2 linked regions of the Lonchura striata genome follow. The protein of the gene in region 2 interacts with the protein of the main gene of each other region in a pairwise test. Links are inferred from orthologs where the notes say so. Each region holds a gene or a part of one and is shown on either strand. Other genes may lie near its edges.

What was found.
Region 1: the proteins of SPRY2 (region 2) and ZDHHC17 interact in binary tests that used the Homo sapiens proteins (3 or more experiments, as listed by UniProt). The link is inferred for Lonchura striata from reciprocal best matches to the Homo sapiens genes SPRY2 and ZDHHC17.

Annotation. Positions count from the first base shown.
Region 1 is NC_134607.1:47,182,627-47,195,644, reverse strand, and holds the start of ZDHHC17 (palmitoyltransferase ZDHHC17), read right to left. Parts: upstream 6,277-13,018; 5' UTR 6,211-6,276; coding exon 6,148-6,210; intron 1-6,147. UniProt on the Homo sapiens protein: Palmitoyltransferase that catalyzes the addition of palmitate onto various protein substrates and is involved in a variety of cellular processes.
Region 2 is NC_134604.1:47,460,932-47,473,221, reverse strand, and holds the start of SPRY2 (protein sprouty homolog 2), read right to left. Parts: upstream 4,900-12,290; 5' UTR 4,883-4,899; intron 4,653-4,882; exon of another isoform or gene 4,636-4,652; intron 4,263-4,635; 5' UTR 3,435-4,262; intron 1-3,434.

The sequences.
Region 1 (13,018 bases), on a different chromosome or scaffold from region 2:
TGGCTTTTCTAGGTTTTGATATAAAACTGACAAAAAAACCAAATACTAATAATATAGCAGACTACAAAGACTATTACCATGGCTTCACAGGAAATTAAACCTGTCACTTTCTTTTGATAAATTAGTAGCAATGGTCAAATACAGTTAATGTCCAAAGTGTTTTAGTTAGTAGTGTCTGATATTTTAATTAAGAAATTAGAATACTATGAAAGTTAATGTGGTCTATTTTGCATGTATTAAAAACTACAGGTGAGCAAGCATTATTCTTATGATTTGCTTTGTGACTATTATACCTACTCTCCTAGTTAAGGAATATGCTCCAAAAAAAATAATTTTGGTTTTTCCAGTAGCTCCCATTTTTAAACACCCAGAAAAGTGTCAATATGAAAACACCAAGCATCCTTCAGAGGCGGCACCTTGACCCACCCTATTTCATCATTGCAACCCAGAAGTAAACAACAGAGAGCATTCTTACTGGGAGGGGAGGGCGGGGAGTGTGTGGAGAGAGAAAAAGCAGAACAACTAATACTCTCTTTCTGATACAACTTAGGGAACGCTGGGACAGGACAAAATTAGGGTTTTTAAAACACCAACAAAAGCAAAGTCCTATCTAAAATAAAGGCCTACACTAGAAACTACCTTGAAGGGATTGTCATTATCTAAGTACAAGTTTCCAGTGTGACACAGTTCCCAACAAGACTAGTGCAAATATAGCTATGGAGAACGATGAGCAGGAATCACAGGATCGCCTTGGTTGGAAGGGATCTTGAAGCCTATCTAGCTCAACCCCTCTGCCATGGGCAAGGACAAGAGCTCAGAGCATCCAGCCTGGCCTTAAAGACTTCCAGGGACAGGGCATCCAGAGGGTGTTTACTGCCACAGTCAGAGTAGAGCACTGCTCCCAAGTTCCTGCAACAGCTACTGCACTGAGACCAAAGCCACCAAAACACTGAAAGAACGAATGAACACGAGAGACTCAAAAGGGTCAGGAGGACCGCAGACCATAAGAGTAGTGTAGGGATCTGATAATTGTCAGCATATTAAATAGATACAGACAGACCTATATTTGGACAGGTATCTTGCAAGATGTAATGAACAGAAATAAATTAAATTCAGACTAGAAACATGTTTAAGTCTTAAACAGACTAATTAAATTTGAGGGCAACTTTCCCAGTTATGCAATATGATCTATTAACATAGGATTTTGTTTTATTTTTACTTTATAACTAGCACTCTGAAAAGAAAAAGAATTAGTTAAAAAAACTTTAGCCTGTAATATAAAGTTGGAATAGATCTGCAGTCCTCTCCATCTTCAGCCTCTGAAGCTACCCAAGATACACAAAGTAAGGCTCAAGCCTCAATATCAAGTATGCTACTTTGTGTGAGACTTCGCAGTCCTGTTGTCCTTTCTAAGCAGTATAAAAAGTGATACCTGATCTTTGAATGAGCTCACAAATGCAAGACTAGTCTCTGGAGTGATTTTAACTAAGCAACACAGTAAGTTCTGCATCCATACAGGACAATCAACAATAATCTGCAATCCAGTACAACACCAACAATATCTACAGAACTCCACAGAGAATAGAGCTGGATGGTAAAGTCGGGCCTTTCACTGAAATTTCAAACAGAAAAATATTGGAGCAAAGCTATTCACAGTAGGTTTACTTGTTTTCGTCAATTCACCAACAAGGAATACAAGCATACATGCTTCTGACTTCCTTGATAGTTACAAATTGAACCACAAGGAGAGAAACAAAGGTAAGAATGATGGCTTCCATCTGGAAAAATTCCTGCCAAACAGAGCCCATAACTGTTAAAATTGCTTTTCAACTTTGCAGGAAGACTGTTCTTGGGTAAGATTTTTTTTAATGCCAAGAGGTGTCTAAATAAACAGTAACTTCCATCTTTCTCAAATGTATCCCACACTGCCTGGCACTGGTAAATGAACTACACTGAAGTAACGAAACAGATCTTCCTTCCCAGTAATACTTCTTACCATTTAGGAAGTGATGCAACTGTCAACAGCTGCAATACCTTTGACCATTAGGGCCATACTAGGCCCTAGAATATTTTTCAAATACAAGGAAGCATTACAAGCAAAATCCATTTTCTAAGAGTTTTCTGCCTCCCTGCCACTTGAATTTGAGAATAAAGCATCCATACCTATCACCACCCACCACAGAAAAGTCAGGAATTCACTCTTATTTAGAAGATCCAAGGAATTTGAAGTTAGAAGTTCTGTTGGCCTATTAAAATAATCGGAGGATAACAAACACAATCAGCGTGAGCAGCAGTCCCATAGCAGGGCTACACTGTATAAAAGGAAGCAGAGCTTGCTATTTTGTCACCAGAAACCTAAACACTGTGGGAATGAAACAAACCAGCAGGGAGGGACTACTTAGCCCAGTGTTACTCTGCCGTGGCAGGGCGCTCTGCAACCCTCACTATGGAGCCACCATATCACACTGCAGCTCAACCACTACCACGTCCGCTCCGAGAGAAACATGCACTGGGCTACCTTTGGTTGACCATGCACTTCCCAATCATGCTGAGAATTCCTAAAAATTCATGTTTATGAATCAGTCACTCCAACACAGTCTACACTCCTCTATACTCACCTATTTGACACACAGCTCAGTTATCCATTTGTGGAATCTTGCATTGGATCTATAGAAGGATCCTTGAACTCCAGCTGAAAACATTAACAGCTGGATAATCCACTACTGCTTCTTCCTTCACTACAATGATTACTCACCCTCCAAGTTTACCACTTATGCTTTTCAATTTGATGCCATTCAACTTCACTTTCCAGTCACTGGATCTTGTTAAGCATAAACTGAATAAAGCATCGGATTTCAGTAAGAAAATATTCACATGGGGGACAAAAAAGATACCTCTCACTTTTTCAGATAACGTGAACAGGGCTTTTTCAGGCCTTTTACATACTGTAAGGCATTATTAAAATAATTTATAATTCTTTCCCATATTCTTCACTATTTAATATATTTTAAAGAAAAAATTTCATCACGAGCATTACCACATGTTCAGCCAAATATCATCTCCTTATACATTTTTAAACAAAGTACTTCTGCTGAACTGCTTGTTCATATTTGTATCCTATCAGTCAATAACTTTTGGAATACAATCCCATGCATATGCTTCTTACCTTCAGTGCACTACTTTGAATGTTGCTTCTTTAAGGTGTGCCTTGATTTATCAGCATAATTTCATGTGAGTTCTAGATGGTTTTGTACAGTTCCATCATCCCTGCTTAGTACCCATTCATCTTGTTTGTCTGCAAGATTTATTATTGACACTTTTGATATTGTGTCCAAATCACTAAAGAAAATATCTGAGACTAGTAGACCAGCTCCTCCAAGACTTTTAGGAACAATGAAATTCAGGAATAATCCTAACAACTATTTCCAAGATGTATCAGTTAGGCAGCAATTCTCCAAGCATTTATCACATACTATAAGATCCTCCTACAAGTATCACATGTGCAATTAATATTATTTGTTGTATTTCACCACTGAAATTATCTTCAGAAGCTCTGTTGTTCCACTACCAATCTTACAGCTAGAAAAGTAGGATATACATTGTCATACTAAACTGAACTTGTCAAAAGGCAGAATAAATACCCTTGGAAAGAAGAGTCCATTACTCAAGTTCAGCTTTCATTCATGAGGGAGGGAGCAAGGAAGGCCCAAGAATTCAGGGCAGTACCACACAAACCCCCTCAAAGCATTCCCACTGTAAGTTTCCTAAAGCATTTGTTTCTACCTCTTCTTACTGAAATTACTGAATCACTTCAAACTGAGTCTTCCACAAATAAATAAATAAACAAATCTCTCAGCATGACAGTATTTAAGTAAATTTCAGTATTCTTTAGAACCTCTTTCCTACAACATGAATATTGTATTCATAGTATTTCATGGCAAAATGCAAAGCTTTAGAGCCCACATAAAACAAACACATCCCTTAAAAAAACCACAAAACTTCAAACAATTTGAAAGTAATCCAAATTAGTCAATACAAAAAGACAGTAAGAAGCAAAAGCCTCATATGCAAGGCATAAAAAAATACCTGAGAAAGATACCAAAAATAAACACTAGCACTATGAAGCAAAAAAAAAACAAGTTAAGATTTTGACGGCACTATAAAAAGCATCGGTTTTAAATGTACACAAATGTTGAAACTGATTATATGCTCTAACGTCACTACTTACATAATGACATGGTGCTACTTTCTTAAAAAGTGGAAATCACCATGTATTAGAGTCCCTGACCTTCAAAAACGACTGAACACAGATGCACTGCATTGTCCAGTGGACAGGTCTGTGACAATACAGCTCTGCTATGGCACACAATCCATAAGTTTTTCAAACAGCGTTTCTGGAGCGTCTGTTAACAACTTAGTCTGTCTCACCACCTACATGAAAAACATCCTTCTCGTTCAAAGTTTATCAGTACAAAGACTTTAGGGAATAAGGAAACACTCACTGAAATCCATGCAGACACTATCTTGTAAGTAATAGCTAGTCAGACATTCATCATTTCTGGAAAAATTGAATAAAACTCCCTCTAAACTAGTGATGTTTATTGCATATTAAAATGTTCCAGTTGATGTTACAGCACACAATATATATTAACTTCCATTCTCATCTTTTGTGCAGACATTCAACTTTATGCATCAAAGGAACAGTATAAGATTCTACCAGATTAACTAGCTAGACTACAAATTTAAACTGAGATAATTTCATTTCCTATACAGTAAGTATTCAAAGTTAACAAACACTAGTCTTCCATCTTTAAAACACAATACATTTCTGACAAGCTGTAAATGCTTTTTATTCCATTTTCCAGTCTTAGATTGCCTATCAAAAGTTTCCACAACTTAAGAACACTTTCTTTCAAAGAACATCAACATCCTACACTAGATCACTACTGAAAACTTGTGTCAGTTCTGAAAATCATGAGACACTGCTCTGTAGAGGGTACTGCATTTAGTCTGACTCCAGTTAGGCTGAAAAAAGGTCTAGCAACAGTCTACTCATATCCCTTAAAATAAATCCCAAAAAAACCCAACAACAACAACAAAATCAAACAACAAACAAACACTTACTTGGGGTTTATTGCTAGCTAATTACCTTTCAGAACAGACTGGTCTATTCAAAACTCATGAGCACAGTTTAGAGAGGTAGAGCAGGGTAAGGTACACGACCACATATAGAGGCCTATATAGCCTTTTCAGTAATCAAATACACCACCAGCCTTTTAAGACACTGTTTAAGGAAAAGACACCATCTGTTTAGCAAAAACTGGAGCCTGACATATGCACTGATCAGTTCTGTAGGCTGAAAAAAAATCAATTCTTACAGACCTTAACGTATCAGATGACAAGTCCGCATGTAACAGCTTTTCTAAACTGTTTAAAATACCTTACAAAACAATCACACTAGTCCTCAATAATACAGACATGCCGCTGACAAAGGTGGGCGGCACAAAAGGGTAAAAAAAAAAAAAAAAAAAGGCACGAAACGACCTCTAAATGTTACCTGTAAACATTCCTCCCACCGTCAACACACTGGAAAAAAACAGACCGCTGGCTCTCTAGGTAAGCCCACGCCACACAGGGAGCGCTGGGCTGGATGGGACCAGCCCCGACCTGCGGGTGAGCTGCAGACCAGTGCCATCTAAACCCAAGGGGAAACACTAATTCCTCCGAGGCGCTTCCCGCCCGGCAGCCGGGCCGGGGCGGGCTGCGAGGCCGGGCGCTGCCGCTCAGGGGCCGGAGCCGCGGCACCGCCCGGGGCGCCTCTGCCCCGGCTTCACGCCCGGCTCGGGGGCGGGCGGCGCTGCCGGCGAGGGCGCACGCAGGGCCGGCGGCGGACCTCGCACGGCTCCCCGCCACTCGCACCCGCCTCCCCGCCCGGCCCGGCCCGGCCCGGCCCGGCCCACCGCCGCCGCCGCGCACACCCAGGCCGGCGGCGGGGGGCGGCGGCGCCGCGCCTCCCGCCCTCCGTGCACCCCGCCTGGCCGCCCGCCCGCCGAGCCCGCTCCCCCCCGCCCCGCGGCGGGACGCCGAGCCGGCCGCGCCCCGAGCCCCGCTCCCGCGCCGCGCTCCCTGCGGGCGGGCCGCTCGCACCTCCGGGTGCAGGATGGGCACGCAGCCCGCCTCCTTCTCGTACTCCTCCAGCGGCGCCGCCATCTTCCTGCGAGCCCCGCGCCCGCTGCATGCCGGGTAGCGCGCGTGCCCGCCGCGCCCCCGCGCGCCGCCGCTTCCTGTGGCGGCCCGGGCGGGAGGGACGGAGCGCGGCGGGCGGGTGCGGGTCACTCGTGGTGTGCCCGTGGACACACCGAGCGTGTGTCCTGTGCCTGTGTGCGTCCCGTGCTGCAATCGACAGCCGGCATAGCGCAGCTTTGCGGAGGTACTCCTAGTGAGGAGTAAGGTTCTTCACTAGTTGGAATGCGAGCGAAAAGAGCGCCCTTCACCTTCTGCCTGCAATGGGGATTTGGTTCCATACTAAGCAATCTCTGTCCATCTTTCGTAGGGAGTTACCCTCATGCCTACTGGAGTGGCAAAGAGAGCATGGGAAGAAAGCAAGAAGGTTTTAATTAGGTTTTTGCTCCCGACTGCAGGAATGTTTGAAGCAGTCCTGAGGACTCCCTGAGGATGCAATTCCTTCCAACCATTTGTGCCCTACTGGGCCGGAGGTTCCTCACAGCCCGGCACACACGCGCTGCCCAGATGCCTGCGGATTTGGGCACAAGTTACTAAATAGCTCTGTTTAGCTGGTCATTTCTATTCTCACAGGCTGAGTAATGTGCATACAGCCAAGATCAGGAATCCTAAAGTGCTTTCTTTTATTTTAATAAATTACATTTTTATCAAAAATGGTTTTTCAATTACGGAATGTTATTGCTGCGTTGACTACTGCTCTATTTTGCTATATCTATGGTGCTCTCATTTGCCTTTGTGAGAAAGGGACCTTTGGATAATACATTTTGTTGTATCATAATACATTAAGCTCATAAGCCTAAAACCCTACAATGATATTCTCTTCATTACTCTTTCCTATCTCATGCAAAATGTAACAGAGAAGCACTAATAAAGTCTGACTGCAGCATTATTAAAATGTTAAACCATAAATGTCTTTTTTTAATGGATTTAAATTCAAAATTGTGAAGAAGAATGACATAAGATTTAGAAAGCGGGGGTGTGAAACAGGTCTCAAAGCACATATTTGAAACCATAAGGGCTGAAGTGCTAAAAGAGCAGAACAAGACACTGAGTATACAGGAGAGAATCTTTTTTTAACTGTCTATATTATTAAATGTACTAGGGCTTAGATATAATTTGCAATTTGATTTGCATGAGGAAGAGGGTTTTCAACCCCCTACAACCTCCAGAAATAGAAATCCTATTAATCATGACAGTTCATCACTCCTATTTATAATAAAAGCAAGGGTGATAAAATAACTAAAAATCTTCATAGTATTTGTACTATTCAGATTATTTTTCCTTGGAACTCTGAAGAAGTTATGCTTTGTCCCATAGCTGTGAACCGGATTGTAAACAAATACTCTGACATCTGTCTAGGTATTTATAGCCTGTTCTTCACAGATCTACACATGTGCAAACCAATTCTATTCCCAGATATATCTGTACAGAGAATTTTTGCTGTTTGAACTGGGGCCTCATCTGTAAGTATAGTTCATGTGCAGCCTATTATCTTTCTTCAGAGCAAGTGTCCCTTTTACTACCAAGTAACAGCAGAACTAGAATATGGGATTGTGCTACTGTGCCTCTGCATTGGAGCTCCTCATTCAAAAGCTAGCAGAAGTTTAAAAAGTTTTCTACACTTCAAGCATTCCCTGTCCTTTCCTACCCTTTATATACAATCTAACATAATTACATGGAAATGTGATTCTTCATTGTTTTGCATTGTCACTACAGAGAGGCTGTGGTCTGTGCAGTGTAAGCAAATGGCAGATACAAACCCAACAATCTGCTACAGCAACAAAGTTTACTCCTATTTCCTACAAATCTAAAAGGCTGTAAGGTTAGATGTGTTTCTGGACTCTGCCAAAAAAATTACTATCTAACCTTAGGCAAGTATTTCACTTCTCTATGATTTACTTAGCTCACTTGTAAATCAAGAACTTCGTCATCTCGTTCAGGGGGATACTCTGGAAATTTACTACCATTGCAGAGCAATTTTATCTCTCTGATTAAAGATGCCTTGTAAATGCCAGGAATTGTTGATCAATGGCAGGAAATGCTCTTCTGTGTGATTGCATTGAATGCTCCATAGCTGATGTGTGAAGTGCTCTCCCTATTGACCCAAGAGGTTTTATCCAGTTCTACTTAACTAGGCATGCAATAGGGACAAGTCTGTAATATTGGTTAAACACCATACACACTAGAAAATTATTTTAGGTCATATACTCACAAAAGGAAAACTGTTCACCAGTACCACAGACACATAGATTTTCTTGCTTTGTTTTGTTTTATGTTAATCACTGTGAAAAGGGGCATAAGATCTGGAGACATTTTAATTTTCAGGTAAGCCAAACAACAGCCAAACTGGGAAGTAAGTAGCACAAAGTCTTATGATTCTCCATTCTGTAACATGGATTTTATCTTTTTAACAAGTTATTAGGAAGAAAACCCTTTGGCAGAGACAGAACATATTTATGGAACACACATCTGTACACATGATTCAGTAATAGGCCTGACTGTGCAGCTTTTTTAGCTTGTCTTCTACTAGACTATGAAATGTGACAGTGAAATAAAAGACTTTTAACACATATTTTGTAGAATTAGCAGCTTTGTATTATGCTATCAACATTTAAAATAACTAAAAGTGTGCATAAACAATGTTTAACTTTGTAATGAAATATTGCAATTAAAGCTAAATGTTTATTCTCGTGGCAGGTCAATACTTAAATTAAAAATATTAGAATGTCTTAGTACAAAAACAGGTAATAAGTCAAAAGTACCTTACCTAAGCCTACAAAAATGTGTATCTTTAGAACAGTTGTGCATATCCTTTACTTTTCATACATCGTTTTGGTTAATATTATTCTAATTCATAAATCATCAGATGGATTTGCCACCATACTGAGGTGCCTCTGAAATTTTCTCTTGCATAATTGTCACTTGCATAGTGACCCAGAAAACTAGCTTCACTATCAAGGGCTGAAATACCTGGAGAAGCCATGTCATGGTCCTGCTCTCTGAGTATATTTGCAGAGGAGCTATGAGTAATTATATTTACTATTCTCTACCTATGCTTCACTTTCTTATCCTATTACTGTTTGAGCCTTGTGCTTTATGTATTGGAAATGACACCCACCTATCTAAATGTGTATACCAAAATGAATGTATAAAACATGTCATTATGCATGGGTTTATCAAAGTCGATGATTTCTCTCTGCATTCACTCTGACATGGAGAACATCCACTTCTCAGCTTGGACCAGTTTGGGTGACTGAAAGCCTGTGAGTTTGCATGACAGCTCCACAGAATCTGTCTTTAAAAATATAATCCAGCTGAAAATGCTCTCTAAGCAAGTACATTAAGAGAATATTAAATATGCATGATTGAAAACAGAAATCAGACAGTGAAATTCTTCAATACAGTGCCTCCTGTAGCTGCAGGCACTGCTTCTGTTAAAGTATCTCAGGGCTCTGACAGCTGTGTGGATATGAATTAAACCTGTGTGACTAAACCTGGTTTTGATCCCAACTGACTGCCTCGCCCTCTTGAGAGAGGCGACTGTCCTAGAAGGCAAATCCATCAGATCTCACTGTTGGTCCAATCCTGAACCACTGCTGTCTTCAGTCCTCTCTTCTAAGGTAATGTGAGATTTCAGCTTTCAGCATCCTGGGCTGAAAGCCATGGCAGTTCAGGAGAGGACTCATGAGAAATCCCAGCTGAACTATAATCCAATGTCTGGGTTCTCCCTGTAACCTGTAGCATAGGGTCCTCCCTGTAGCCTATAGTGTAGCCTGTAGTGTAGTATGGACAGGGGTCCTAAAGAGAAGGTCACCTTCTTCTCTACTCCTCCTGGGTGTATCTGTTGGGGGCAAGCTTCTTTTGATGGCATAGGAAGCCATATTGTCTGCTGGTCTGCAAATGATAGGCGCTTTTATGGAACAGGATGACTCCGCCTAAGGAAGTCTTTGGCTACATAGCCTCTTGCTCCCTTAGAAACAGTCCAGGAGGTTGCTAGTCATAGAAAAGCCTAATGGCAATGTTTGATATAAAACATCAGAAAAATAATATATTTGTATTATTTCCCCCTCGCTTTCCCTAAGAGAACAAACTTTCCATTTGACTTCTGGAAGCTGGAAATGCCCTTCCAGTGGTGAAATTGTCACCCATTTCATTTAAAGGGAGCCTTTTCTACATGTGCTTTCCTACTGTATGATTGGATCCCAAACCCCTGTATTAAATTATATTCAGGGAGATTTCCCCATAGAGTTATTGAAATATAATGCTGATGACATAAGCACATAGAGAAAACAGGGACCATCTGCAAGATGCTAGACATCTATTAAAAAATTGTATTTGTTGAATCCTAAATGTCTAAATAAATATTGTGCTTTCAAAACAGTAAGCACATCAGCCTGTGAATCCAATATTTCTTTCTGGAGAGATTCTTTCTGTCACTTCTGTTGTTTTCAAATGAGTTTTTTGTAGAAACATTACTTAGCATTTGAACATAGAGAGGTAAGCACTAAGCATAAGCTGCTCCTAAGCATAACACCCTTGTTTTTCATTTTTTGTGGTTTTGCATTTTATTGTATATTTCTTTTCTGTCAAAATAATCTCATTAGCATGAAATATGTATAGCCCTTGAGTGACATAAAGCAATCATATTATTTCCCTAGGTGATTATCTTTGCTGATGCAATTCCACTGCTGACAAATTCTGCATTGATTTAAAAGTGCAGAAAATGAGTGGGGTTATCTAACTTGCCCTTTTTATTCCCATTTTTCTCCCTTTAAGATGATGTACTTCTGTTTCCCACTCACTGTGTTTTAAATATCTGATCTTGATAGCATATCGTACTCATAGATGACTTTGCTGCTCTCTTTGTGTCAAAGGACCATCTCTCCTTTCTTTGCTCGTTACAGTCCAAGTGGCTATTACCTAGTGTTCTCATTACTTACACTAGGTAGATCTAATAAGTGTACTAAAATAATTTTTAACTTACCTAAGTCTGTTAGTCTCCTGTGAGTCTTCCCCCAGAGCTTGTTCTTGGCACATTCAGTAACATACCACGTGTACTAGGTTGTTCTGCTAACACATCTGCCTGAACTCAATTTTTGGGGAAACCCAGGGCTACCGTGATGCAACCCTGTACAACAGCTGACAGCTCCATATTTGTAAAGGATAATGAATAGACTTGAAACTGAAGACTGGATTACACTTTATGAACTTCTTTCCTTTTCTATTTTCATCTTCATTATCCTTTGTCCTCTCCCAGACCTCCTTTACATCTTGTGCGTTGGGCTGATTATTCTAGCTGTCTTTGGAGAAAGTTCAGAATATATCCAAAGAATAAAATTTTGAAACACAGTAGTTGCTGAGGCAGAAACTCACTGCCAAAATGAAAACAAGTGACAAACCAATAAAATAAAATTAATAGTAATTCCACTATTTTGAAGAGATGTCATTGAGAATGAAGCAATAAATATTCAACAATGGTTTTATGGAAGTACTGCATCCTCAGGAATTTAACTTGAAGGGGGCTGAATGATAAAATAAGACAAAAATAACATTTAAGAGTTTCATTTACAATCTTTGGTTGAAAGCCAATAGATGAAATCTTTTTGGCACTTTATATCAAATGAAGTAAATATTTTCCCTGCTCAGATATAAAGCAAGCTCTGATAAACATGGTAGACTAACACCCTTCCCCCTTAAAAATGAGAATTTTCTAGCTGCATTAAAATAATTTTCAGTAACCAAGTTGATATCCAAACATAAATTAATTAGACACTTCTATACATAGCATGGTCCTAGATTACGACTGTTTTATAATCCTCTTCAGGAATTGTTGTCATCATGGTCATGGCAGCGAATATGTAGAGCCCATTGTCACGGGAGGTGTATTGCCAGGGATGGACCTGCTCATTCATTGAGCATGAAAGGTACTTTGCTTTCATGTAAGAGGAGAAAAAAGGAATAGTACAGGAAAAAAAATATAAAAGAGGTAAACTTTATCAAATGTAGTAAAAAAAACAGTGAAATATTAAATCCAGAAAGTTTCTGATATTAGACAAGAGCAAGAGATGAGAAGGGCTCAGTTGGAAGAGACCTACAATAATCATCTAGTCCAACTGCCTGATCACCTCAGGGGTGAATATCTGCTTTCCATGGGAGATGTTTAAATTCTCTATGGCTGGTTTTGTTTGAGGTTTTTTTGTAGAGAACAATTAATTGTCTTATTGAAGTCCTTGCATCATGCCATGCAGGTATTTTAGATTTATTTTATTACTGGAATTAAGGACAGACAAAATGAGCCAACAGCACTTATGAAAAACTTCCAAAATTGTGATGGAAAATGTTGAATAAATTACCATCTTGTGTAGGTTTTTGCTGAATTTAAGGTGAATTAATAATGGTCGTACACAGGCAAGTACTCTAAGCATAGGGGCCAATATAATTTTGTCTCTGTTTTAATGGGAAAGAGTGGTAGCAGTTTTCTGCCCTTGACTAAGCAAGGATACAGAGCAGCAACCTCTTCCACTGACTCATTGATACAGTGGGGGAAAATTCCTTTATTAGATTAATATAAGGACTGCCAGAATACTGAAGGTATAACCAAATGAAGAAATAATCCCCACAACCAGTTTTTAAAATAATAAAGTAAATAAAATACATCAAACATTCATAAGGTTTGGATGCAAATGGCTAATCTGAAATGCAAACTCAAACAGCCCTAATATTCAATACACCATATTAAACATCATGCTGTGAACTCCAAGCCTAGAGTTCAGAA
Region 2 (12,290 bases):
GATGTAAATAGGAAATTTTAGTTTAATACCAATGGTCCCAAGAAAAACACTAAATAGCAATAAAATGTTTGAGGTTAGACATTAAATGAGTTAGTGCTACCAAAAACTTCAACAGCACAAGTAAAAATATCTCTCTCCAGTATTTTAGTGTGTGTCATACTGTTGCACACCACTGTGATTGTTATTTTAAGGCTCAAAACTACAAAAGCAATGTTACCACAGTTGTTTGGTTGTTATTTTTTTAATGTGTAAAAAATTCCATAGACTACATTTCAAATTGTAAATATTATCAAGAGTGGATTGTGGGATAGAGGCATGCATAACATAATCAAATAATGTCAGCATCCAAGAAGCCTACTTGATTATGAATATTAATTGAAATTATTGTTAACTACAAAGTAGAAATGCAGACTTTAGAATTTAAATGAAAAGCCAGTAAAAGACAAAGATGAGAACTCATAAATAGCTTCCACACTCAAATATGCTCAAATTTCAAGTACTGCCTTCTAAATTAGTTAATATTTGTTTTGCCTTTATCATATCTTAAAGTGGCTCTAAAATCCAATTACCTATACAAAAATCCAGAACAATATTCTACAATTAAAACCCAAGCAGGAACCAAACTTCTTAAAAGGACCACACAATGTCTTCAATTATACCTAGAAAGAGCACCATAGTGTTACTCTGTACACATCAGTTACCAACAATAATACTGTACTGCAGTATAGTAAAATATAGCCAAACAGTTTAACAAAGAGTATCTCAAGACACTCGTTATTCTAACATCAATGCAAAACATTTAACCTTTTAACTCCTGGCTCCCCTGCTTCAAGTGTTTTTTTTCTTAAAAAAAAACCAAACCCAAACAAAAACATATAGACAAATCTCTAACTTTTAAGAGTAACCACTTATTTTAAATATTGTCAAATCCTGGTTTAGGACACAGGATGTATGTTACGGTGCTCATTTCACCACCCCCCCCCCACCCTACACCCCCAGAAAAAAGTCTTGCAAACTTGGCTTGAAGCACTGCTTATGGTTTTGTTTTTTTTTTTTTCAAATTAAAACCTCTGCCATACCAAAAGTTTCAACCAACAGCCCAAGTAGATGTTCAACTCCTCTGAAACTATCTGGAGATAAAAAAATAATAAAAACTAAAATGCTTTCCCCATTCTTGAGAGGAATTGGCAGCCCTATCTCTCCTCCACGTCCAGGTTTCCACCAGCCCCAGCCAGCCTGGAGGGTACGCCGGGCTGATTCTCCAGAAATGACAACCCACTGCAAAAGCAAAGCTGACCCTGACCTGAAGGCGCTTCAGACGACCCCGGGATCGGTGGCGGAGCCCCCCTCAGACGCCAAGGTGGGAGCTGGAAAAGCAGCCTCCGCTCTCCGCTTCCCTCCCCGCCTCCAGCTCCGTCTCGGGCGGGGGGCGCGCAGCAGGTGGGAGGCGACAGCCCCTCGCCCGCCGGAGAGTGCAGACAACCTGGAGATAACCAGGAGACATCCTCTAGGCTGGGAGGTGGGAGGGGGCTGCTTCAGTCGCCTTATCAGAAAGTCAAACCCATGTTTCCTTTAAACTCTTCCCCCCTGCCCTCCCTCAGGAGATGCTAAAGGAGCTTCCCCTCCCGGGAAGTGCCAGGCGCCCTGCAGACGGTTCAGACAACACCTCCGGGACAGCTGGGCAAAAGGCAGATTACCCCCTCTCGCCTTGCGCTAAACACCCATTCAACTTCACAAAGCCAGCCGCTGGAAAAGCTCCTCTTATTTTACGCATATTCTGCAAATTGCCTGACCTTCAGCCCGCCCCGCTCCGCCCCAGCCCGGAGGGACCCAGGAGGCATTTCCAGTGGGGGCATCAGACCGAGCAGGGTGCTCCCCCTTTTTTATCCCCGTCATAGATCCGCTAACAGGACAGGATGCAAAGAACCAGCACATTTATTTGCAAACCTCAAAAATCTCTTTTTCACCTACATTTGCTTGAAAATCCTGACAGGAGGGCATACCTCTCCCTCCTCTGACCTAATACTTCTCTCCTTTGCATCCGCCAAGAGCAAGAGAAGCAGATTTGCCTTTTTGTGTGTGCATGTGCGTGATAACACGATTCCCCACTTCTAAGAGCCAAAGTCCACTCTCACCGAACTCAAGTGCCAGGATTGCTAACTTTTCTTTCAAGCTGGGCTTGGCAAAAGGGTGAGCGAGGGAGACGAGTTTCGCGTTCGGCACATTTGGGGAGGTTTAAAACTCGAGGGGTTTCTTGCGCGCTGTGGAAAAATCCCGTGTACCGCTGGCCGGGGAAGGGCGAAGCCTAAGGGAGAGAAGTCCCCTGCCCGTGAATTTCTGTTTTGTGGCCGGAGCCTGTGCAAGACACCCCCACCCCCATTCCCACCGCACACACACCAACCACCTCCTCTTCTTTCAAAGTGCTTTGAAACCCCCATTAAGGACCGAGTGTGTGATCAGACTATGGATTAGGGCAAAAGGGACTTTACCATCGGGGTGGGGCAAAGTGACACACAAACAGCTTGCTGAAAACACCAGCAGCTTTTTTTTTTTTTTTCTTTTTTCCTTTATTTTATTTTTTTTTTCAGTTTTAAATAGGGGAAGGGGGCTGTCACTAAGTAAGCCCACAGAAAAAAAAAAAAAAAAAATTATGGCTTTTCCTTCCCGTCCACACACGCCCTCTGCATAGAAGAACCTAGAGAAGGACTTTCCTCGTCTTACAGATCGAATTAATTTCATCACAGGAGAAATATCTAAACTTACACACACGCACACACACACGTATATATTTGTACCAGACGTGCACTCACTTCCGAATCGCACGGATCTCCTGACGCCACTACAGACAGGCGTAAATCAAGCACTGAAAGGCGGGTTGCTCCTTCTCCCCAAAACCGGGGGACAAACAGCCCCGACGCTCGCCAGCCCCGCTGCGCTCTCCCTTCACCTCCCCCGGGGCTTGTCGGAAACCCACGCGTGCCCAGCGAGGCAGGAGCGCGCAGGATCTCCCGTGCCCGGCCCCCCGCAGCAGCCAGAACACGCCGGAGCTGTGGTTCCTTGCAGCGCACCCCCCGCCCCACTCGCAGCCCCGCAGGCATTCCGAGGCGCCCGCGCAGCCCTCCGCCCCCTGCGCAGCCTTCCGCACCCCCAGGGCACCCCGGCGGGGCGCAGTCCGCAAACCCCACGGAGCTCCCCCCACCCCTCCCCGGAGAAAAACCGCTCCGAAATCCCACCTCCAGCTCCTCTCTGAGAAAGGAAGGAGAAGGGAAGGGGGGGAGAGGGAGAACCTGTACGAATGGAAAAGGGATCGGCCTCAAACATTTCCACGAGTTTTCTTGGAGCAACCAAAGCGGGGGTGGGTGGGGGGGGGGGGGGGGGGGGAGAGAAGGAGGTTACTGAAAAGCTTGTTTTGCAAAGAAGGAAAAGGCTCTCACCGTGATCGCGGCGCTGCACCAAACCCCTCTCTCTTGTATTTTCTTCTTCCTGCGGTTTGCAAATAAATCCAGCCCTAAAGCAAAAAAAAATTCTTTTCCAAGCTCTGCTTTAGTCCGACTTGCAAATTAGAGTAAGAATGATCACCATGTTAAAAAAAAAAAAAAAAAGTCCAGATCAAAGTTAGGTGCCTTTCCCCAGATCGATTATAAATACGTGTGTGTGTGTGTATACTATAATAATAATCAAAACACCTCTCCGGATCGGGGTGGGTTTTCTTTGCTCCTAAAAATCACTCAGTCTCACACACACACACTTTCCTTTCTTTTCCTCAATGAACAGGAGGCCGAATCGCCAATACCAAGTCACTTTTTTTTTTTTGTTGCTGTTGCAAATTCAAGAGGAAAGGGAAAAGCCAAAGAAAACAAAACAAAGTGGATCTAAAATAAAATCCCAGAGCTTTCTTCCACTGAGCTCCTCCAAAAAAGCAGCTTGTGCAATGTAGCCGTTCTCCTGAGAAGCTGCTTGCTGCAGGCTCCTCTCCCCTCTCTCCCTCTTAGCTTTCTCGCTCCCTCTGCGAGCGTGTGTGTTGCAGGCAGTTCTGTGGTTTGCAATCGGGGGGGTGTTTTGGGAGCGCAGCGGATTTGTGGTGGTAGTTGTTGTTGTGTGTTTGGAGGAGGTGGAGGAGGAGGAGGAGGAAGATTTGAGATCTGAGCTGTAGGGACTCGACGTTTTTCTGCTCGCTCGCTCTCTCCCTCTCTCTCTTTTTCTTTCCGGAGGAGGTAGGGTGATCTCTCTGCAAAAGCAGCAGTAAATGGCGTCATGTGGATCTGAGGAGGAACAGAGCAGTTGTTGTCCCAGAGGATATATCGCATCCGGTCCCAGCTCATTGGCTCTGCGGGGCTACATTCACTGGCGCTCTCAGCGCCCTGCCAGCACTCAGAGCTGCGGGAGGCATTCAAAAGGGTAGCGCTGCCGCCGCCGAGCCAGCCCTGCTGCCCCGGCCCCGGCCCCGGCCCCGGCCCCGGCCCCGGCCCCGGCCCCGGCCCGGCCCCGGCCCCGGCCCGTCCGCGGCGCTCCCCGCGCTGCGCGGGGCGAGCTGCAGCCGCGCTCCTGGGGCCTCGCCGCAGCCTGTGCTCACGGGAGGCTGCTCCGTGCGCGGTCTCACGCCGCTCGGGGTTGCTTTTGTGCTCGTGTATTTACTCAGAGGCAGGCGGCGATAGGTTTGCAGGGAAACCGAGGGGAACTCGCTTCTCGCGGGGAGGAAGGCGCGCTCTCCCCGCCGCTGCGAGCGTTCGGGAGACCTGTATCCAAGTGCTCCCCGTTGCTTCCCACCCGTTTTTCTTAACCGAGTGGAATAAAAGTTTACACTTTCTGCCCCTCCCCTCCCCCGCTTCGCCCTTTCCAGCCGCCGGTCGCCGGCAGCGCAGGGAGCAGGAAGGGTGATTACTTGGGGCATTGTCCCGCGGATTAATGCGATTAGGCGGCGCGGAGGGCGCCCCCGTGCCCGGGCGGGAGCGCGGAGCGGGGCCCGCGGGGCGCGGAGCGGGCGGCAGTCCCCGCGCTCGGGCGCCTGCCCGCGGGGTGCGCCGCGTCCCTGGCACCGGCGGGGTCCCCTCGCCTGTGCGTGGGGGTGCTGGATGCGTGGAGTTCTTTTCCAATAAGTTAAAAAACCCTTCAAAGTCCTCCCTCCCTCCCTCCCCCCAGCTTTATTTTAGTCAGTTGCCATTCGTGCGGAGGACACGGTCTGCGAGCAGCTCGCGAACGTGACTATTTGTCTTCTGGGCGTTTCCTGACACGACCACAGCTCGGTCCCTTTGGTACGAGCTGGAAGTACTGACGGGGCCACTGTGGCTGGCTGGACGCGGGCATCTTGCGCCGGCACGTAACTGTGCGCGCACCCCTGTCCCCGGCAGGCACGCACCGAGCACGAATGTTCCCGTGTCACATGCGGCACTGCTTAAAATACACACCGGGTGTAAGGCAGCAATCGCTGGACAACCCTCGGTGCAAGCCCGAGCCAGCCCTCTACTACTCGAGGCGATTTTGCAGGCACTTGCTCTCCTACACCTGCTGGTCACTGCTCTGTGGAGGGGGTGGACATTCCCCACGAAAACGTGTAAATGAGGGTCGTGTCTCACATGGACGGCCTTCGAGTTTTCGTGGTTTTATGCTCAAGTATCCGTTCTTCCACAGTAATATTCTGAACCTGCAAACTATTTTCCATACTTGGGTGACAGTAAGGTCAGACGGAATTAAACGGGGCTCGCTTTTTTCCTTTCAAGCTCCATCGCTCCCTAGCCTGCACAGAGCTGCTGCAGCCCGACCACCCATCCCCTCTCCACCCTGTTCGACCCCCGGTCCCGCAGACGGAGCGCTCTCCCGCCGGGGCGGGGGCTGCCCCTCGCTGGAGCCGCAGCCCGGTGCGGCTGGGTTACCCTCGGGCTCGGGGAGCGGCGGCGGCGCGGCCGCTCTCCCCGCCAGAGGGAGCGCGGCGCCGGGGCGGGGGGCAGCGGGTCAGGGCGGCTCCGCGGGGGCACCAGCCCCGGCGCCGGGCAGCGCCGGAGGGAGCCGCGGGCCTGCCCGGAGCTCCCCCGCGGAAGGGGGCACCCAGCGGCCTGGCGTCATGCGTCATGAGCATCCTCGGAGATGTGCCCTGTGTGTAGGCTGTACGCCCCGTGTCAGCAAGGCAATCCACGGTGTTCAGCTGAGAGAGACAAGGATGGGTTAAAATATCTGGGAAACAGAAAACACAATATTCCCCTCACTGTAGGAAGACAAAAATACTTCCTCCCACATAGCAAAGTCAAAAATAAGAAATTTTTGTGCAAACCTATACACACGGGAAAGGTCTGTTAAAGTATTTTTTATCGTTTATATTGAGTACATAAATAATGTTTTAAACTGGAAAGTTCATAACACCATTTTTAAATCTGTCGGTCAGTAGTGGAATCATCAATTCCCACTCCAGTTCTCACATACAGGTGCATACACTTAATACAGAGAGTAGTCTCAAAGACAGATCTCAAAACAGGGATTTTTATTCACAGAGGCAGTCATGTGTGCAAAATGGTGAAGCATCAATGTGTTATAGCTTAAAAAAAAAAAGGCAAAAAAAACCTGCCAAAAATAAAACCAGCAAAACCCCCAAGAATACAGCATCCTGGTACTGATGAGTTTGAAAGAGAAGCCTTAAACTTGCAAAGATTTGTGCGCTAACTGGCACAAAGGTAAATAACAGTGCACAAATCTGCAGAAAATTAAATGTGCTCATTTTTGTGCGTGTGCTTGGGTTCATGTTGGAACCTCGACGCTGATTTCTCAGTTTTAATCTGATGGCACCTTGGAAGAAGCTTTTGGAGGATTACATGTTTCACTCACGTTTCTTGTTGCAGAGAGTGGCTTAATGCATGTGATTATGTTTCCCCTAGTGGTTTGCTCTAATTACTGCATGATTTTTTTTGGTGTTTTTTAGGTTTTTTGTGTGTTTTGTGTGGTTTTTTGATTTTTTTTTTTTTTTTTTTTTGCTTTTAACCCAAGCAGACCTTGTTTTTGAGATGAAGTTCTTGAGTTTATTCTCAGCAGGGAAATGTAACTGTTGTATAGATACATATTTGTGTACACACCAACATACACATATATTTATATGTGTGTAAGTGTTGTATGTTCATGAGCTATTTGAATAGTAGCAATTCCAATGGCTTCAGGTTAAAAATGGTGTATATAGATTTGAAAACTGTATGACTTGACAGACACCCATATAAAATAGCTGAAACTTTTCTGCTTCATCCTGAAATTATCCCACAAATTTTTGATTGATTCGATTTTCAGACCAGAACCAGAAACAAGTGGTTTCCCCCTTTACTTTGAAAAGGGAGGACAGCTCATTCATAAGGAATTCTTCCTGCAAGGGAATGAAAGTGCAGTACTTTGCTGACTTTGAGAACATTTCATGCATTATCTCAGGAGTTAATGCAATGATATGGGAATATTGATTCTACACATCCTAAAAGGACTAAGATTGGCTGCACATTACTTCTAATGTCCAGAAGTTCCATCAAAACTTAAACCTTTAATTGATTATCTTCCGTTTTTGTGACTCTGAATAAGCTAAAGTACATAAAGGAATTACTGAGCTTTTTAAAAGTGTAAAGCTTTCTTTGCCTACCGATATTTCATTGAGGTTCTTCAGGGCAGATAAGGCCATTTAGATAAATCATAGAGAGAAACAAAGAAGTCAAACACATTGCACTGAAAACTTATAAAGAAAATTAGGTCCTCGACTCAGTACTGTTAGTTTTCCTTTTGCAATTTTTGTTGTAGTTTACCTGAAGGAAATCCTGGAATTCTCTTCCCTGAGAAAAAGGGGGGAAATGAACACGGTCTGGTAGGACAAGGATCAGCACTGTTACATGTGAAAGAACTGGTACCTGCCACTCTGCTTGGGAATGCACAAGCTCCTCAGCTGCTCAGAGATTTAGTCTCCTGCTTTTAGTGATGCCCAGATTTTCTCTAATTAAACTATTATTTTCCGATCTAGCTCATGATAGACATCTTTCTTACAGATGATATAGGCCAGATCTTGTGTAACTTTATTCCATCTGGTGATTGCCTCAGTATATAGAGGGACAGTTGCCAGAGGATATTTTCTTGAATAACAAATATACTTATGTAAACTTAAAGAATAAACAAATCCCTTTCCTGTACCTTCTGAAATTATACTGAAGTATACATACATTTAGTACTAGTAATATAACGTGGAGCTTTTGCATGTAAATTGTTCTAATAAAGCTAGTATGCTCTTTGATGTGTCATTCAATGTTATTTGGTTATATTTGTGTCTTGATTAAATCAGCACTGTTTTTTTTTTAAATTCAACTTTATAAACCTTTCTAGCTTATACAATGCATTTTATAATTTCTCTTCTCAAATACCCTGACACCCAATGTTCATAAGTGGGACAATTTAGCATGGATTGGGACTAAGTGAAGTTTATTTGCTAAACTGGTATTATATCAGGCTTTTTATGGTGTATAGGCTCCGTCTGTTAGTGTTTGAAACACTGCACTTTCTAGATTCATGCAGTTAGAGGCTAGATAATACTGGGCTTGACTCTACTAGAATTTTATGCAAAATCAACCAATAGTCTATTAAAATGTTAATAAGCACTAGTTTGGGAATTCCCAAAATATTTTGTAGCAGGATGCAGACATTTATGTGTTGACCGGGGATTAAAGTGACTCAGAAGAAATGGAAGAGGTCAATGTTAGACATTATGGGAAATTTGAAAGAAAGTTTTATTAAGAGACTTATCACATCTCTGCTGTGGTTTGCAGCAGCAGTTTTCAAATTTCTTCAATCTGTAGACTTTTTCTATGCTTTAGGATAGAAAAAAAAATAAGGGAAGCACAAACATTTTTAGAAAATTGTAAATAATGAGACCTCCCATTTAGAAGTGTTTGATAGGAATTCACAGATCACAGTTAGAAAAAAAACACTGATGTAGAGATACCTGAACTAGCTCTAAATTGCGATGTAGTAGAAAGGTAAATTAATATCTTTGGTACTGTGAGCAGTGGAATTGGAAGAAGCCTGCTCTTCTCAGAAGTACAAGGTAGCCTGAATGGACCTCCATGCTGTGATGGCCATTTTGCTCCCAGAACATAAGGTGTTTTTTTGCATTGGAGGCTGGAGTTCAAAAAATACTCCTAAAGATTAACAATTTGTAACATAAATCTTGAATGTCACTCAAGGAATATGTACAAGTCAGAGTTAAAGATTTTGCTAGAAACAAAAGGAAGCAGATTGAGCAAATGTTTTTTAAAAAAGTATAATGTTTATCCTATTTACTGAGATTATTTTTATTTTCCTCAGATGTGAAAGACTTGTGTTCATCTGAATATAAGCAGACAAGACAAGTACATCCTGAAAGTGGAGGTGATATATGCAGGACAGAATATTTTACTGGAGATTAATGAATTTTGCACAAAAAGGAAAATAAAAACTGGTGTTTCCCTATCACTTGTCTGAAAATCAGAACACAATCAAACTGAAATGCTGTTTATGTGCTTACATCAATTAAAAAAATAAAAATTGCAGATACCCTGACCCAGATCTGTACTGTCTTTTTCTCCCCTGATTATAATAGCAATATCAATGACCGTAATTAAACTGCTAGATATTGTATCACAGTTTTTTCCACAGATCTCAGACTAGTTTTCAGGAGATGTCACTGCCCGTTTTAGAGGTGAGAAAAAACAGGAAAGAAAGAAAGAGGTAACTTATCTCAAAAGCAAGGACTAGGACTCTCAGGTCCCAGTTCAGTCTCTGTGCTATGTACATGCTGCCCAAGGTGTTCATTTCCTTCTGACCTCCAGAGTCTTTCTTCACAAGCAAAATTTCAGAAGCTGTGTCTGATAGAATCAGAACACTTTAAAAAAGTATGAACTGTTAGACAATTTTCTTACTTTGAGAGAGAAGAGGACAAAATGTTTGGTTATCTAAACAAGGTTATCTCTTCAGGAGCATGCACTCCCACCCCTTGATTAAAGAGTTCCTCTAAACTTCCATCTCTGCATCTGGTGTAGTTACTCCTATCTCATTTGTGGTTTTGTAATCATCTTTCTTTTAAGCAGGTCTATTACTTACAAAAGTCCCATAGATAAAAAGGCAGAAATTAACAGAGAAGCTGAATCTTGGAGCTGTTCCTCCTAAATAAGCCCCTGACTCCTTCTGGAGCCTGAGTGAAAGTCTTACGTGCTCCAGGCCAAGAAGGGAATCCAGCTGTCCAGAGCAGCTCCAAGGATGGTCTTCTAATTAATGAAAGTTAAAGGAAGCATTGGAAATAGCATTACAAACAGACAATAAATCCACTGCATCTGACAGAACAAGCTTGCAAAATAAGCCCACTGGAAAACTTCCTTCATTCTTGAGGTTAAGTGTTTAAACCGTTTAACATATTTTAAGTTTTCTTATTGTTGCTTACTCACAAAGCAATTCAAATTGGCATAAATTATACCCATTTCTGACGGTTTACGTTGTGTCAAAGCAGTTGTGTTTTCGAAAATATGTGCGGTTCAATTTCCATTTTCTTTCTTAGCTCCGTAGATTTGTTTTCTCCACAGGGACACAAATTATGGCTCTATAAAATTCATTTTAGCTAAGGAAATTTCTGTTAACACCTTATCTATAATCCCAATGTAGACAATAGATATAAAGGCAACAACATTTATTTAGCTGAATAGCTTTTGCATCAGGTAAAGTTTGACTTCCGTGAGGACAAATTATTTGCAGAGTTAGACAATATATGTAAATATGTAAAATTATATGTACAGATGGTAGATGCTGGGCCACAGCCCAGGCTAGTAGTTGTACTTTCAAGTTTGGTCGAAGCTGGAGCTTAAGCTGCAAAGGCAAAATCTTCATTCAGCCCAACTTCAAACCCAAGGATTTTTTCTGCAGTAAAAAGGTCTAGGAGAGGGAAAGCATTTCTCTGTGGTGAGAGGGAGGCAGGAGGGAAGAGGGCTGCCTTTTGCTGAGACCCTCTCGGATTTAGCATTGCAGAGGCTGGTTCTGAAGGCAAGTCAATGAAATAGAAACTGGAATTTCCTCCGCTCTCCTTCCTGCTTCTGTCTTTGCCTGCCTTACCTTTTGAGAACCTGATTTGTATTTGTATACATGCGTGTGATCCCGATTTCATTGTTTGCCTTTTCACACAAGCACTTTCACCTACATCCCCCTTCCCTCCCTTCCCTTCCTCTCATTTGGCAGCCAGTTGGGCTTCTTCCTGCCTTGAATACCGCATTCCCTGGTTATTCAAGCTCAGTCATTAGCACCCTGTCCCCCCACTGAAATTATGAATGAAAAGCCTTGTTGTTCTTTACAAATAACTCGGGCTTCCTCAGTCAGTCAAATTCAAATGGCAGTGACTGCCAGACAAAGCGCCTGTATGATGGACAGTCCTCTCAGCAAGCCACCGCTGCACACAGGAAGTTTTAAAGGCGCGATGCGGGCAGCGCAGCGCGGCGCTGCCCCGCGGGCCGGCAGCGGGCTGGGGACGCGCAGCGGCCGCGCCCCGCGCCGGGCAGCGGCCGTGCGGCCGGCCGGCTCCGCGCCCCGCGCCCCGCAGCGGCCGTGCGGCCGGCCGGCCCCGCGCCCCGCGCCCCGCAGCGGCCGTGCGGCCGGCCGGCCCCGCGCCCCGCGCCGGGCAGCGGCCGTGCGGCCGGCCGGCCCCGCGCCCCGCGCCCCGCAGCGGCCGTGCGGCCGGCCGGCTCCGCGCCCGGCCCGCGGGGCGGCGGGCTGGCCGCGCCGGCACAGCCCCCCGCCGCCCGCGCATTGTTCGCCGGCCCCTTTCACAGCGGGGGAAAAGGTAATTGACAGCGCCATTGTCCGGCCCGGCCCCCCGCGGCTTTAAAACACTCCGGGGCCCCAGTCACACGTTGTCAATGGGAGCTGTCGGAGGTGACGAGTGAAGAAGGGCTGTTCAGGAAACAGTTTGAGCCCTTCAAGTGGACAGGCCTCAGTGACTTCTCCGGCACTCCGGCTGCCACAGGCAGCCCCTTCAAAAATAACCTTAAAGCAATAAATCATACATGTTTCCTGCGCTATACAAGGAACAGCTGGGTATTTTTCTGCACTTCCCCTCCCTTCCCCCCTCCCCCTCCCCTTGTTTTTTTTTTTTAAGCCTAAAAATTATTTAAGCACAGGAAATCAAGCATGTCAAAGTTTGGCAAAGCAGTTTGGGTGATTTAGCAATTACAACACTTCTTTCTCTATTAGCCAATCCTTGGGCTTTGACTTTTTATCTCCTCATTTCCACTGGTTTCTGCATCTGCTCCAATGTCTGGGGTAACTCATCC